4 linked regions of the Schizosaccharomyces pombe genome follow. Changing the gene in region 2 together with the main gene of any one other region gives a genetic interaction. Each region holds a gene or a part of one and is shown on either strand. Other genes may lie near its edges. The genes, in order: hta1, cph1, chp1 and tma22.

Region 1 (3,602 bases), on a different chromosome or scaffold from region 2:
AAAGAGACGTACAGCAATCACTATCCATAAATAACGATAAAAGCAGCATTATGGGTAAATGAATTTGTGAAATTCACCAACTTGCCAAAAATTGCTTACATATTCTCGTTAACTGGCTTTACCGGTTCCGGGTACAATTCATTAACCAATCGGTTGGACGTAATGACTAAATAGCCCATAAGAAATATAGACAGAAAAAAAGGGAAAATAAACGTGAAAATTACCAAATCTAAGCATTCTCAATTTATGAAATGCTTGGTCTTTTAGTTGGAATTGTGCTGTACTGGTGCGACCGAGCTTCGAAATCGGCGAAGGAAAAAACTCAAAAGAAGCAAACGTCTACCGTTTCACGAAAGAAGAGTAAAAAAACTGCATCGAAAAAAAATTCTGGAAATTCAAAAGCATTAATTGTAAAAAAAAATTAAGTACTATTCTTTTGCATGTACTGCTCGATTCAATGTTTAATGACACTCCTTTCATCAATCTGTTCATCTCCACTCTACAATCTATTTATTCATTTGATACATACTCTCATATAGGATTTTGAAAAATATACTCATTACTATACAATATTATAATTAAGGGAGAATAAAAAAGAAATAAAAAAAACCAAAGGAGCCAGTTCAAGTAGGAATTACTTGTGCAAAAGCCCTTCAAGTACTAGTAAAAGTAACTAGTAGAGAATGACTTGGCTGCATCTAAAACATCCTTAAAGTTCAGGCATAACGAAAACAATAACAGCAAAGAAAAAGAAAGACGCAAAAAGTTCAAAAGGAAAAAGAACCAAACATGGTTTAGAAGCGAGAAACAACCAAAAAAAGTATTGCGGGGTTGTAAAAAAAGAAAGGTCCTTTACAACTTTTCAATGTCTTTCCCTTCATCCTCTTTCAAAATGTTTTACTTGACGACTGACTTTACAGCTCCTGACTAGGCTTTCCAGTGCGACCAGAAGTTTTGGGCAAAAGATGGGCGTTGATGTTGGGAACAACACCACCTTGAGCAATGGTAACGTGACCAAGAAGTTTGTTCAACTCTTCATCGTTACGGATGGCGAGTTGAAGATGACGGGGAATGATACGAGTCTTCTTGTTGTCACGAGCAGCGTTTCCAGCCAATTCGAGAATTTCAGCAGCCAAATATTCCAAAACGGCGGCCAAGTAAACGGGAGCACCAGCACCAACACGTTGAGCATAGTTACCCTTACGTAACAAACGATGGACACGACCAACGGGGAAAGCCAAACCGGCCTTGGCAGAACGGGATTGAGCAGATTTGGCAACAGCAGCCTTACCACCAGATTTACCTCCAGACATGACGAAAAATACTGAAACTAAATAAAAAAAATAAAAGTTTGAGTTAAAAAAAAAAGATTTTTCCTTCTTTAATGAAAAAAGATAACAGTCAACGATGAAGCAGCGAATGGATCAAATTTGGTGAAATTAACAGAATTTTCTCGCAATTTCAGCCTTTACGGACAATCAATCTCCTTATCAACTAAGGATCAATTGTTTATATCAATTTCAATACGTGTATGGATCAAAAGGTATCCTAAACAACGAAAAGTCGCGATATAGGGAAAAGGAGACATAGGAGCGCGCACCCTTCATATATATACTAATTCTAATCTTCCGTATAAGCACGTCTAACGCGTTCTTGTAGATGACGTTTCCGCGTCGCATGGCTAAACACCAGGGTTAGGGTTGTGATGCCCAAGTTGTATATAACCATCGCGTCGCCTGCAGGCATGTTAGTTAATACCAACAACTTGATATTGCACGAAAGTTTAGGATTATCAAATTCCTACAATTGCAATTACTTAGTTCAGTCCATCAATTTTGAGATTCTCTCGACAACCAATTTTTAAATCGTAAAAAATGTCTGCTGCTGAAAAGAAACCCGCTTCCAAGGCTCCCGCCGGTAAGGCTCCTAGGGATACCATGAAGTCTGCTGATAAGAAGCGTGGTAAAAACAGAAAGGAAACTTATTCATCCTATATTTACAAGGTGTTGAAGCAAGTTCACCCTGATACTGGTATTTCCAACCAAGCCATGCGTATCTTGAACTCTTTCGTCAACGATATTTTTGAGCGTATTGCCACTGAGGCTTCCAAGCTTGCTGCTTACAACAAGAAGTCCACTATTTCTTCCCGTGAAATCCAGACTGCTGTTCGTTTGATTCTTCCCGGTGAGTTAGCCAAGCACGCCGTTACCGAAGGTACCAAATCCGTCACCAAGTATTCTTCTTCTGCTCAGTAAGCGAATCGCACGATTGTGCAATCGTCTTTTAGTCAGCTGATGAGTTTCCACAGCCTTCCATTTCGACAATGACAACCTCACGAAACAAAAGGGGGTAGGTTATTTGCTCTTTTGGAAATATATATTTTCCTCCTCCCTTTTTTAACGTTTTCGTTCCCTCCTCTTTTCCATTTCCGCCTTTTGTATCGCATTCCTATTTTATTCCCCGTACAATGACGACAACAACAACACAGGTGCAGCACATCACGCGATAGTTTTTTTTACATTACACATGGTTCTTCATTTCTATGACCGGTTCGTGGAGTTGAAAGGTGTTTTGTTTTGCACAAGTCGTACTGGATCAAATTGGGTTTTGTGTTCGATTCGACGGGGACGAGATGCTTTTTCTTCCCTTGGTTAATCTTCTTCCCTTGTGCATTTTATAGCTATCACCACTGGTTGGAGAGTTGAGTTTCTTTTTTTTCGACTGTTTGTTCCTTTCCGCCATGTATGGAAATAATTTGTGTCATTGGCACTCATACAGACACTTCTCACACTCCATTTCCCGTTCCACTCCTGGGCATCTTGGTTTATTAATGGATTTATTATTATTATTATTGTTTATGTTGGTGATTTAGATTGATGGTGAATGGAATATTATTATTCACATTCAAAATATCCCAAAGAATCCAGTGTGCGAAGTTGATGTGGTTTGGTATGTTTGCTATGCAAATGATTTTATATATGTTTGGAAAGATTGTAAAGTAATTCTACTATTAATAATAATATAATATTATGAAAAGATCATTTCAATAAACTGAAACTTGAGTCGTGTTTTCGTAGCTGTTTCCGTAGTCGGACTTATGGAGCTGGCTTCTGCCTTTCTTTGGATTTGTTGTAGCAAGTCGAGTATGGTAGGTGGAAGGCATTTATTTAAGAAATGCGAAATACTAGGAATGTCGTGGAAAAAGGCATATGGTGAGTGTAAAGCAAACTGAGCGAGCATACAAGACGTTGTGGCTATCATCCAATCTGCCGCTTCATTAGGAGGCATGGAGTCTTTTAATTCTAAGTATATGGTTTCTAGAGTGGAAAACAATTGGAAGGTCGGTGGTTGAATGCTCAACTTGGATATGGAAGAGGGTGTGGTATTGGAAAAACTGGTATCCCGTATGGCCAACAATTTATAAAGATCTTGCAAGTTTCGAAGAGATTTTGAAATTCTCGGATCGAGGGAGGGAGAAACCTCGTTAAGAGGAAATGTCTGTAAGAGAAACTTTTGGTAAGGTACCAAACGTGAACGCAAGTTTAACAGTCGAGTTACGAAGTGTAAAACATCAGAGCGGGTAATGGAGGTAGAGAAAACAG
Region 2 (3,956 bases):
ATACAGAATGCCGGTTCTGCCATGTTACCTTCGTTTTCTAATCTTCCGAACTTATACTCTTCCTCGTATCTTGAAGAATGGAATGTCTTTGCTCAATACAAACGAAGAGAAAGCAACGCTACCGACTTTGAAGACTTTAGAAGTCAGGTTGGTGATGATGAAAGCAAGTTCGACGAACCTACTAGGTTCTAGTTAATAAGTATTTGCTTACTTGTAATTACGAATGCCAACATATCTTTTATTTGTTGATATTTTTGGTGTTCAAGTTTTATGGACCGTTTGGTCTGTAAGCGTTTTAAACCATTGATATGGCTGTTAAATAGACTTTAGTAATAGAACCTTTCCTTATCACTTTCTTTTATTTTATTCCTCTTTGTCTAGTAAATGCATCTTACTCATATATACTTATATATACTTATATATACTTATATATACTCACACGGTACAATACGCGTATAAAATTTAAGTATTGAGAAGTTGTTAGTATAAAATAGAACTTTTGCCCTATTAGGAAGGATTTGCAATGATTAATTGCATAACGAAAATTTTTTAAAAGCCTTAATGGAGAAAAGTAATGTAAAATAAGCCAATTACAACAGATAGCCAGTTCTAAGAGGTTTTATAAATACAACATTAGCAAAAAAATAACAGAAAACAACCTTTTCTGACGATTTGAACACGACAGATTAGATTAACGTAGTCTGATTTTATACAAAATGTAAAAATATCGTAAAAATTCAAGTGCGTGCCTTATTGAATAAAGTGCGTAGTGCAATAGGTAGGTTTGGGTGCGTTCTCGCAGGAAGTAGTGCGCTTTTTACGTCTGGAGGAATAACCTCTAACTCTCGTTTTTTCCTTTCATTATTAAACTTTTTAGCTTCTATGCCAATCGCGTACAAAAAATCTTTGATGAGACCGTCTTCTGAAACTTTGTAGAGACAACTCACGGGTAATCTTGGGAAATAGAGAAGTTCATCACTTGGAAACTCTCCCATAAGAAATTGCCATCCTGAAATCATGACTTTAGGATTAAGAGTATTAGAAGTTGTATCCAACACCAAGGGCGTCCTTATCACCACGGCGTTTTTTGGTACTCTCATACCTTTTTTTCCAATGGAGTCATGAGAGCATTTTTTAGCATGCTCTTTACAATTTTTATGATAGAAGGTGTCACACAGCTGGCAACCATAGACCCAACAAGCACCCATTGATGGCTTAGAGCAATAACCACAGTAAGCTAGATTAGTGATAGAGGAGCCAGTCGGCAAAGCAGAAAACTCGTCAGTATCCATTTCTCCTTCAGTTTCCTTATAAGCACCTGTATCCCCACGAGATATTCCATGGAAATAATGCACAAGGTCGTCGGGCAATCGGTACTGCGAGGGATTCTGAGAATCAATCCAATCGTAAAGCTGGGACCATATACTAAGAGGGTGCTTAGGAGGGTGATGCGATTTGATTGAGCAAGTCACACAAAACCAAGATCCTTCTGGAATATTTTCAGGAGTCAAGGGAGGTTCCAAGCATGAAAGATGGAAACTGCAAGGACATCCCTCGCAACAAATAAAAAGACCTCTTCCTCCGCATGCACTACAATAGTCGACGTTGCGTATAGTCGCTTTTCGTCTCCGTCGCTTTACAGGAGTTTGTTGAGATTCGGTTTCGAGATGACTTTTTAGGGAACTACCCCGGCTTTTTTGAATAGGTGCTTTATTTGGAGATTTATTCGAATAACTAGCTTTTTGTTTTTTCACTGGAGAACTTATATCCATCTCTTTGTCTTGGCTAATTGGCAAGACATTTACATGGTCAGTTGAAGAGTGAGTTGATGATGTTAAAGAATTATTTTTAAAATTAGAAGGGGGACCTTCATTTACGAAAGAGTCGCCATGACTATTATTAGAAATTGAAGGTACTGTAGGTTGAGATGAATTGTTTATAGAGGATGCCATTAGATACTTCCCATGCTATGAGCAAAGCAACATGTAATACGCGACGGTTAGCACTTAGAAATATCAATACTATCCTTAATGTTTTAAGGAATATTAAAGGTAAAATTAATGGTTATCGTAAAAAAGAACAATGGTCGAGGTTGTAAGTATATTATAGTGAAGCAACGCTGTTATGAAGATGCTAAGTTACAACAAGTCTTTGAACGCCAAACGTCGTTGCAATTAGACTTAGAAAACTACTTAAAGATATCTGATTTTCGAGAGGAGCATTTAGTATAAATGATTATCATAAGAATAAATTCCCTTCTATATGTAAAATATTTGAACATTTTGTTAAAAACTATTATCCATTTGATGGAACATGGAGCGTAAATTAAGTAGAGAAGCACTTTATGCCTCTTATTATGTTGTTCATCGTTTTTTCGTCAATTCAATATATTCACTAATTACTTAGAAGATGAAATAACTAAAGAATTTGACCACAACGTGAAAAAGTTGTATATATAATACATTCGTTTACAAACGTTTACTGCAATTAATTATCAAGATGAAATTATAGACGGTGAAACTTTTAAGGGTACTTTTTGTTGTTCAAACACAATTCCAAAAACCTTTGGAATAAGAATTTTCTCAAATTTCTTAATTCATGTCTATTAATTGCTATTTTTCGTGTGGTATATACTGTTCAAATCCAACCTCTCACCTAGTCATTGCCTCCTTCTTTTACACTAAGTTGTAAGTAAACTTATAACCAACCACAACTCGGTTTGCCCTTTAAAAAATATTTGTTTGAAGTCTAATGAATATTAAGGGAATTAACTAAATTAAATTAAAATCAAAGATTTGATTTAAGATATTTGAAGACTTCCTCTGTATTGTATAACGAGCGACCTTAAACAGTATCGATTTGGAGAGCACTGTGACGGAGATTTGACATATTTCACACAAAATGTTAAAAACGCAAGAGATATATTCTTCAGAAGATGAGGATGACATGTGTTGGTATGTTTTACTAGCCGATTAGTATCAAAATTAACTGACAATTGCAACAGTCCTCTATGTATGGAAGAAATTGATATCTCTGATAAAAACTTCAAACCATGCCAATGCGGATACAGAGTTTGTAGATTTTGCTGGCACCATATCAAAGAAGATCTAAATGGCCGTTGTCCTGCATGTCGCCGTCTGTACACTGAAGAAAATGTTCAATGGCGGCCTGTCACGGCAGAGGAGTATGTAATTCAGATTATAGAATTCTTGTTTAAGCATAATCTTGTTTAAATTCACTTTTATTTTTAAACATGTCGCTAATGTTTTTAGATGGAAGATGGACTTACATCGAAAAAACGAGAGGAAGAAACGCGAGAAAGAGAGGAAGGAAGTCGAGCTTTCAAACAGGAAGCATCTTGCAAATATTCGTGTTGTACAAAAGAACCTTGCCTATGTAAACGGCCTTTCTCCCAAAGTTGCAAATGAGGAGAATATCAACGTTCTGAAGGGACCTGAATACTTTGGTCAATACGGAAAGATTATTAAAATTGCAATAAATAAGAAGGCTGCTGCAAATTCTGCAAATGGTCATGTTGGAGTTTATATTACATACCAAAGAAAAGAAGATGCTGCACGAGCGATTGCTGCAATTGATGGCAGCGTAAGTGATGGGCGACATCTTCGCGCATCTTATGGTACCACTAAATATTGCACTTCTTATTTACGGAATCAGCAATGCCCCAATCCTTCTTGCATGTATTTACATGAACCCGGTGACGAGGTGGATAGTTATACTAAAGAAGACTTGGCATCTCTTCAACATACCCGTCCTCTTTCCACTAAACCTAATGTGGTAAATGGTGCTACTCATTCTCCTTCTCCTTCTCTTCCATTCAAAACACCTCTACTTCCTGTTACGAAAACACCGTTAGAAGAGGCTAATAGTAGTCCAGCTGCACAAAATCAGCATATTACAACAGTTGATCATGTTCATCCACAAGTGTCAATGACACC
Region 3 (5,892 bases), 1.4 Mb from region 2:
AATGGCATACTTCATTTCGTTTTTCAATAGCGCTGCCACGATCCGACTTCCAATTTCTTCGTCTTTCATACTCATTTCTAGCCCTAATTTCGGATCTACCTCCTTTTGCAATATAGTGTGAACGGTTTGAACATCTTTCTTCTGAATATACAATTCGATATCATACACATGAATACTTAGAAAAGAAACATATCGCGGTCCTGAACCTAACAAAAATAGTTCATCCTCATTATTAATTCTTTTTTGAACTAATCCTTCGTATGTTTGTTGAATTGTCTTGGTGACACTCTCACAGTATAGAGGGCGAGTTTGATACATGGCATTTATTGTTGCTACTGAGCTCCAAAAGACCAATCCTGGTCGTTTCGATAACCAATTCTTGCAAAATTGATAAGCAAAAAAACGAGTACCAAACATGTTGTTTAGTTTAAATACACACACACAGATATTAGCCGGTTGGTATTGGATCACATGTTTTTCCAAGAGATCCTAGATTTTAAGGAGGTGCGCAAAAACAACTAACAATGTTGAAACATACGGTTATTATATAGTGAAAAAATTAATTAATTAATTAATCGTCTAATTTCTAAAGAGTAGACTGTTATTTTCTAGTATAAGTCTTTGAGTTTAATTTTAAGTATTCCTATCCATTCGTAATAAGAAAAAATGTCAGTCTATATATCCCATTGTCCGCCGTATCCCAAAATAAATAAAACGACTATTTTAAACCAATAGCTCTCATAAAAGTCTCTTTGAACTCATCATAGTCAACAATGTCAAGGCCATTAACTGGCGTCAATTCATTTTTAAGCTCGTGAATCAATACGAACCTTCTATATTTATCATAATTTTTTTTCTGGTACAATTGTAGAGTGCTGGCTAAAGATACATCAGCGCTATCATCGATCACAATATCCCAATCCTGATACAAAGTCACGTTCTTCAGCGCTGGGTTGGTCAGGTAGCGCTGGAGTGTATTCAATAAGTTTTGAATTTCCAAGAGACTTTTGTCTGGATTGTTTGTTACAAAATAGCTCTTGACCATATCCACAATTGATGGGGGTAGAATTAAAATCCATGAATCTTTTTTAATCTCAAGAAATGGACTAATGAGTTCCAAAAGCCGTGGTGTTTTTATAAGTGCTGAGAGTGTAACAGATACCACCCCACCCTTAGGAAACATCGGTCTTAAGTACTGTGAATATGTCAACTTATCAAGGGGTTCATTGTTTTTCTTAAAGTCCGTACCCACGTGTGAATCATTAGGACTTTTGAGAGGGAGTGACAAACCAAATAAGAAAAATTTACAACTTTTCCTTTTCGCCAGTGTTAAAAATTGCAGTTGATCAAAATCATCCTCTAGTGAGACATTCAGGAAAACAAAAACATTCTGTGATAAAAACAAAGATTCCGGAATCTCGAGTCCTCGAAATGTCGGAATAGCAGCTTCTCTAAAAGTATCCTCCAATTCTTCTGCCTCCGGAGAAGGCTGTTTAGAGACAATTAAAATTTGTGTAGCTTGAAAAGCGCCTATTTTATGTAAATCGATGTGGCCTAATTGTAGTAAATAAGACAAGTAAGATTGGGATTTATGATATGGCTTTTTAGGCCTTAGATTTTTTGCCGACCATTCGACTAGGATTGATTCTAAAGGTTCAAAAATCACCATCCAAAAAGGGCTATTGCTTTGGCCTTGACAATCGTATAAATTCATTAAAGCATTATTATCCTCTGTAAATAATAATAATGTATAGTTACTACCCAGAACGATGCCAGCACCGTTGCCGCGGTTTAGTATATTTTTAAAGTGAGTCATATCAACATCGCTTCGAATACAAAGACTTCCGGAAAGAACTTTAGTCAAGCAAGTACCAAATACCTCGAGATATTGTGAAGTAACAAAACGTAAAACATCTACTTGCTTGCAACTGACTAAACTTCGTAACAACTGTTGATGTTCAGTTTCCGCCTTAAGCTTGGATATATCAAATGACAATTCTCCAGCATAGTAGAGAGATTTTCCGACTCGCAAAACGAATCTAAAATAATCAGACAATGTGCTTGCTGAAGAAAGATCTTCGGATTCGCTTATCGAATGGTGAAGAGAGTTATCCGAATTTAAAGTAATATTACCAGCCGGAACTACTTTGCTAGCTCCATCATTTTCAAAAGTTTGATCGCTTTTAGAAACACTGTTCCAGTCGTTATTAACAGTAGTCCAACTACTTCCGATAACACTTTTCTTAAGCTGCTTAGCATCTTCATTCGTCACGTTTACGTTGAAATCGAAATTTTCGTCCAGATCGACATTGCTAGCAAATTTTTCCGACTCAGAAAGGGTATCTGTTGTTGTTTGTGTAAAAGAAACGGACCTTGCATTTGCTTTCTTTGAAGGGGTTGTTTTTAAAATAGACTTTGAGACTTTACATTCTTCCATATCAGTTGATATCTTCCCTTTTACTAAAGTTACATGCCAACTTGGATGCCCTTTATCATACGCAAGTTTGGCTTGTTCGATAGAATCGAATTGAATGTAGGCCATATTACAAACTTTGTCTTTCTTTGGTGATTTGAGAAAAAAGACCTCAATATTTCCTTTGATAAAAGCAAAGTACGATAAAATATCTTGCTTCGTTAAAGAACCAGAATTATCACTAACTAATATCGTATGCGTTTCTAATTTCGGTGCTTCCTTTTTTATCTTCAAAGAGGAAGGAAGAGGAGTCGAATTGCTAAAAAATAATGAATTGGCAACATCATTATCGGAAGTTATTACTGGCGACAGACTTAAAGGGCTTGAATGCCTAAAGGTTGACAAGGGGGTGTTAGATTGTGGTGAATTCGCATTTTCAACAAAAGCGCCAGTATTTTCAAGATTGTTCGAATTTTGAATTCCGGGAACTGAGTTGTCAGAGTCACTGGGCATCAACATTGTGCTTTTAATTTCGCCATTTTTCAAAGGTATTGCATCGCTGGAGAGGCTTTTGGACAATAAAATACTGTCGGTAACTGTAGGCCACTCTGATAAGTAGAAAGGATTAACATCAGGGCTAGTTTCACCAAACGATGTGGATAGCGTGCTAGTTTTATCGGTCAAATTCCTCTCCTTCAATTCCCCTTGCATACTTTTTCTCTCAAACGCATCCTCATCCATTGTCTGATCGTCCTCTTCCTCTTCATCATTTGCGATGGTTACAATCCTTCGGGCAGGCTTCTTACGCATCTTTTTGAATTTTTCTTTGACTTTTTGAGATAATTGGGTAAGCTCGGATTTGCGCTTTTGTCTTTGTTGCCTCAATATCTCCTTTTCTCTCTTCATTTTCTTTGCCTCATTATCTTCCGCATCGAAAGGTTCAAGCAAGCCTTTAGCAATTAACTTTTTCCGTTTTTTCCATTTTTTAAGCACTTTTTCCGCACCGAATAAATTTTGTTCAGGTTCCCAAGTATTATCATACCAATCATAGCCAGCCCATTTTATATAATATTCGTTTATGCCATTTTTATTTACGCGGTCAGCAAGGATATCTTCCACCTCATAAACATCCGCGTCTGTCTCACCTTCATTCGAGTCAATATCAGGAAGTGGTTTAACAGATACCATTTCAAGGTAGCGGGTTTTTTGCTCACCTACGTGTCGCTAAGAGAGATTGAAGTATTACAACAAAAAAATATATAAAAGGATAAAGATATGAATTTAAAAAAAAAACGGAATTAAGCAAGATTGAATAGATTCCTTGACAAAACTATTAGCCAAAGTTCTTCCCTTTCAACTACTTTTATAGTTGCATGAAGGGCAGAGTATAACCTCTAAAATGGCTCAAATATTTCCCTTTTGCTTGTGATTTTTTTACCAATGGAACACAAGAATAACAACAGATAATTCCAGTAATGAAGCTTTTAGATGTTAGAATTTCGAAGTCTCGCTGCAATAAGCAAGATGGCTTATGCACTCGAATTTTGGAATCAAACAAAATCCGCGTGATTTTACCGTCGTGTCACCAACGCAAACCGTTAAATATACAAAAAAATAAGTTTTCGATTGGGTTTGGAGTTTTATTGCATTAATCAAGTGTGTGAGGTTGAGGTTGCAGATTTGAAGACACCTATGGAGACATATGTACTTTGAGAAAATACTCACTAACCACTAGTGTTACTAGTTGCATACATGAGGTACTAGTAGTCAAAAAACTTTGTTGGTAAATTGATAAATGTTTAAAATTTTCTCATTCCTCCTGAACTTCTAATTTTATTTTCTGGGTGGTTGTGTAAGTTAGAAAAACTTTAAACAAATAATGAATTTTGTTTTCAAAAAGCTACAATGAGTAGATTTTGAGCGCTGCAATTTATTAAACGATGCGTTTATACATAATACCTCTAAATGTGTTAACTCTATATAAACGAATTCAACACAACATATCATTCCAAAACTGGTAGTACAATAAGAAAAGTAAATAATTACTACGATAGAAAAAAATGATCGTGCCAAGACTCGAACTTGGGACCGTCTGCGAACTAGCATGTTAAGCAGAAATTATAACCATCTAAACCACACGACCTCTTTTGATAATTGCTTGCATTAATTTTATATAGAGGTTAACCAAGGGATCCATTTACTTATATTATTACGGAACTATGTTATTCGTTTTCCATGAAATGAACTTAATAAGAAAAACTGTTTATGTGCAGGATTTTTTTGTTTCTTGTTAACCCAAGATTTGCCAACGATAATTATTCGATGGATTACTCAAGTAACTTTCTGCATGAAGGATGCCTGCATGCCATGAGCAGCATCCAACATTGTATAACTTTTGCATAAAGAAAAAGATTTCAATTGAGCCGCCAATTTTATTCTTTCAAATTTTTAATTTCGATCATTGTGACCATTATAAAAGTGAGAAAAAGCTGCTGAAAAAACCGGAACTTAAAATATTCTTTCTTTGGCTAGATAACTTTGTAACTTGGAAATCAAAACATTGCTTTCAAAGAATTTCTACATCATTGTTTGATGCAGGACTAAAATGGGTATAGTACTGACTAATCGCACTGTAAAAACCCATACCAACCCGTCCATATCCAGTTTTGCGATTGGGTTCAATCGGTCATTCATATAATTGATAGTACTTGCATTCAATTGAGTACTTGCGCTTCTTTATATCAAAGGCATTTTAAAATGTTTACAAAATAGCGCTTTATAGTGAACAACAGCATAATGATTTTGATGATAGCAATCACTAAACGACACCAGCCTTCTCATGATTACGACATTCTTTGTAACGCAGTATAATTATTTAATGAATCATTGGAATGCGTTATATGCATTTTAACGGCCAGTGGCACTAGTGGACTTTTTTTTGTTACCATGATAAAGGATTATTACTTCCTTAGGTTTTCTGATATCCCTCTGCAACTTACCTACAACAAACTACGACTAAGTAAATTCTTCGACTATCGAAAGCAGGGTTCATTGTAATTTACAGGTATATACCTTGATATTATTTGACCTTAAATATTTGTTAACAAAAATTGTTCGTAGATTTACCGATAGAGAACTTAGCCATGTGTCAAGAGGACGAATACGATTATTTGTTCAAGACTGTGCTGATTGGGGATAGTGGTGTTGGAAAGTCAAACCTACTTATGCGTTTCACTAGGAATGAATTTAATATCGAAAGCAAGAGTACTATTGGTGTTGAATTTGCTACTAGAAATATTGTTCTTGACAACAAAAAAATTAAAGCACAGATCTGGGATACTGCCGGTCAGGAACGTTATCGGGCCATTACCTCAGCTTATTACCGTGGTGCTGTTGGTGCTCTGATTGTTTACGATATCACAAAACAATCTTCATTCGATAATGTGGGCCGCTGGTTAAAGGAGCTTCGTGAGCATGCA
Region 4 (3,364 bases), on a different chromosome or scaffold from region 2:
GTTCGAATGGTGAAATCGTCAACTTCCCCATCAGCATTGCTTAATGCGCCTCAACGCAAATGACTCAAAAACTTCAATAACGAAATACGCATTCGGATCTCTTAAGTGTTTGTATCGATATTAAAATCCTGTCCCCTGAAAGTTAAGTACACTGAAGAACTAGCTACTGAGTAATGTTATTATCACGGTTCTTCTTAGTTAATAATGAAGCTACAACTATTTGCATAGTAAATCAATTTTATCAAATTTAAAAAGGTGACAATGATCACAGCATTCTTTGTAGAATCGATTACTTTGTCAAAATATAATTTATTCCTACATTCAAGACAACATTTTCTTAATGAACTACTAAGCTGCCTTATTTTGTATGCTGATAACGTCCAAAAAGGCGTAAAGAAACACAATTTCAATTTTTAACTGCTAAGAAATTCATGGCATACACAACGAATGCTAATACTACTCTATAGCCTTGGCAATGAAATGTAAGTAAACAAATGGTGACTTCAAATCATCATACTAATACAACAGGCAATAAATTGTAAAATATTGATAATTAGGCATTTTTTATATAGAAACATTAAAAAACATGAGTCTCAATAAATTATTAAAAACCGGTATCCTAACTGTGCAACCATTTAACAGAAAATTAGGTTGTACAAGATTGTACAAGACAGTTTATGATAAAATAGCCCCAAAAATAGCATACTTAGTAGTATTTTTAAAAAATAAAAATTAAGATTACTGCTTCTTCTTAGATTTCGTATCTTCGACAATTTTAATATTGTCTTCCGGAACCTCTTTAAACTTTTCCAAAATAAAATCAAATATATCATAATTCAAATCACCCTGTACAACAATTTCATCCTTCTTATCAGCTGTTTTAGTGACACTGGCTCCGGTCGCGAACTTGTTGGCCAACATCTTAGCAGCTTTTTTCGTTTCGATCCCAAATGCGTCAAGACCTTGAACTGTGGTGACTCTCTTTCTTTTAGTTCTTTCAATGGTTTTTATCAAAACCTTGGATGCCATACGTTTGGCTTCTTCACGCTCAACGCGCTTTTCCTCCTTCGTCAATTTTGCCGGTTGTTCTTCTGCATTAGAATCTTTAGTTCCGCTAACATTCAGAGTGTTTTCAAGGTCTTTGCTTAAGTCTTGCTCACCGTACAATTTATCATAAACGTCCGGGTGAGATGATTTAAGCCATTCTTTACATTTTTTTAAAGTGCCCTCAAATTCGCAGTACTACAACGCATTCATAGTTAATATAATTATAAAACAAGTTGTTTATTACGTACTTCCACGGGCAATGTACAAACATCGCAGTATAATACTGATTTTAACTTCGGGATGGTTTGTGAAGCCATTATTTGAGTTTCTTGCAGTATAGGTTAAAGTAGAGACTACCTGGGGGAACGAAAATAGAAAGCGAGATTCAAAGAGGCGAAGCCTAAATATACTATGAGAGTAAAATATGCTTAAAAGCTGTAAGTTATTCGTTAAATAAAAAGTAATTCACATCTCAAGTCGTTTTAAATTTTAGAATATAATGTTATGCTGCTGAAACCGTAAACGGATTTTTAGGACTTTTGTTTACATATCAAAACAATGATATGATAACAAGCTGTTCTTTATAAAGAGTAATAAAAATAACGGCGCTGTAACATTGTAAACTAGATTCAACATGATAAAAAGCTACTACAAAATAAGTTGCGTAAAAAGATAGGAAATTAATTATTCAATTATTGTACAAATAAATACACACTTCGCAGCGTGAGCTAGTTCATAACTTTAAATTCATCAAGACTTCGTGAGTATCCTTAATCTTCAAGGGGCTGACCATAACAGAATGAATAGGAGAGCATTTCTTATCCAAATCATAATAAATGGAAGGAGATACAGCTCTTCTCTTCGATAAGTCGATTATTTCTTCGCCCCATCGAGTTCGCTTTTTCGAGGATGGGGTACGGGATCTGGAGTGATTGCTATTCGGAGTTGACATTTCTGTATCCTTAAAAAATACAGAACTGGAAAGCAGAGGAGATATGGGCATCTCATTCGAAGGCTTAGTAGATGGATTGTCCGTATTACTACTGTCCTCTGCAGATGACTCAATTACATCAGAGTTCTCAACAGCTTTCAAAGATCCTGATGGTGCGAGAACATTACCATTTGCACCTGTTATAGAACTGTAAAACGGTACACCCGGACCTACCATTGCAGGCGAAGCAGCTCTAGAAACAAAGGATGATGATTTTTTAGGCTCGAAAAACATCTTGGAAAATTCCGATTCACTACGGATTTCCAACTCCAGAGGAGATGATTCTTCATACAAGGCACTGGCTACGCGTTGGAACATTTTCGGTTTGGGAAGCAAAGACTTTCTTCGTAACACAGGACACAAAGATTTCGAAATTCTTCCAGAATGAGAGGGACTACAAAGGTCCTTTAAATTTTTTACTTCAATATGTTTATTTGGAGTCTTAGAAAACGAACGCTGATCCAAATTTTCATTGTAACTCAACTGCCTAGTTCCTCTAGCCATGGCAGCGGACGGCAAGTCTGTTGTAGAGTCTGATATGTACTCGGTATCATCATCTTCCATATCGGTCAGTTCTGAATCAAGTGGAAACATAGATTCATCAGTTTCGTCGCTCATTGAGTAATTTACATATCTTAATCCGATTGACGGTGAAGCTTCAGGAGAAGGGGCTGTAAAAGTTTGATGCAAGCTTGAGCACCTAATACTTTTCTCTCTGTTTCTTACAAAAAAGTTCAGACTTGAATTTGATGTTGCTGTGGTCGGTTTTCCAGGTGTTGGATGAAATGAATCCATTTCGACAGTATATCCCTACAAAATACCACAAAGACTTAAAAATAATATAAAGGCCCTATATTAAATAATCATTCTATATTTTATTGCATATGCTTTACAATTGAAAAAAATTCGTATTGACGAGGTGACGATAGGCTTCAGTTAAGATCTCGGGAGCAGTACAAAACATAAGCTTAAACATAGTTAATTCCAAAAGAGGATTCAAATCACCATTCTCATAGTAAAGCTTAACAGAAATTAACTTAATCAATAAATGAGAATTGTATAAGCCGCTTCTTTATACATAGTAAATATTAGGACAGACTATATTCAAGTAAGGATATTGTTGATACACTCATCAATTTTAATTTGCTTCAGAGATGTAAAGCAGGAAATTCAAAAGTTAAAAAATCGACAAGTGAAATTAGCTTATACATTCTGGATATTATCACTGTCCCTCTATATAACTGAAATTAAACTGAATGAAATAAATATTGCACAAATAGTCTAGTGTTGGTAGAATAATTAATTATTTCAATAGGGAGCTAATAC

Evidence for each region.
Region 1: mutations in cph1 (region 2) and hta1 together harm fitness more than expected from each alone (negative genetic interaction), as found in Schizosaccharomyces pombe (2 studies listed by BioGRID).
Region 3: mutations in cph1 (region 2) and chp1 together harm fitness more than expected from each alone (negative genetic interaction), as found in Schizosaccharomyces pombe (2 studies listed by BioGRID).
Region 4: mutations in cph1 (region 2) and tma22 together harm fitness more than expected from each alone (negative genetic interaction), as found in Schizosaccharomyces pombe (2 studies listed by BioGRID).

The regions. Positions count from the first base shown.
Region 1 is NC_003421.2:1,410,610-1,414,211, forward strand, and holds hta1 (histone H2A alpha), read right to left. Parts: upstream 1,573-3,602; 5' UTR 1,314-1,572; coding exon 915-1,313; 3' UTR 535-914; downstream 1-534. Other genes in the region: histone H2B Htb1, read left to right, coding at 1,875-2,255; exocyst complex subunit Sec5, read right to left, coding at 3,028-3,602. UniProt on the Schizosaccharomyces pombe protein: Core component of nucleosome which plays a central role in DNA double strand break (DSB) repair. Nucleosomes wrap and compact DNA into chromatin, limiting DNA accessibility to the cellular machineries which require DNA as a template.
Region 2 is NC_003424.3:797,546-801,501, reverse strand, and holds cph1 (Clr6 histone deacetylase-associated PHD protein-1 Cph1), read right to left. Parts: upstream 2,136-3,956; 5' UTR 1,953-2,135; coding exon 738-1,952; 3' UTR 521-737; downstream 1-520. Other genes in the region: ATP-dependent RNA helicase Upf1, read left to right, coding at 1-192; CCR4-Not complex subunit Mot2, read left to right, coding at 2,902-2,954, 3,005-3,184, 3,273-3,956.
Region 3 is NC_003424.3:2,210,259-2,216,150, forward strand, and holds chp1 (heterochromatin (HP1) family chromodomain protein Chp1), read right to left. Parts: upstream 4,088-5,892; 5' UTR 3,602-4,087; coding exon 719-3,601; 3' UTR 552-718; downstream 1-551. Other genes in the region: aim18 (chalcone related protein), read right to left, coding at 1-417; Rab11 family GTPase Ypt3, read left to right, coding at 5,557-5,892. UniProt on the Schizosaccharomyces pombe protein: Component of the kinetochore which plays a role in stabilizing microtubules and so allowing accurate chromosome segregation. Has a role in the RNA interference (RNAi) pathway which is important for heterochromatin formation and accurate chromosome segregation.
Region 4 is NC_003423.3:4,333,619-4,336,982, reverse strand, and holds tma22 (mitochondrial translation initiation factor), read right to left. Parts: upstream 1,391-3,364; 5' UTR 1,365-1,390; coding exon 1,296-1,364; intron 1,243-1,295; coding exon 739-1,242; 3' UTR 503-738; downstream 1-502. Other genes in the region: protein Dbl6, read right to left, coding at 1,781-2,833.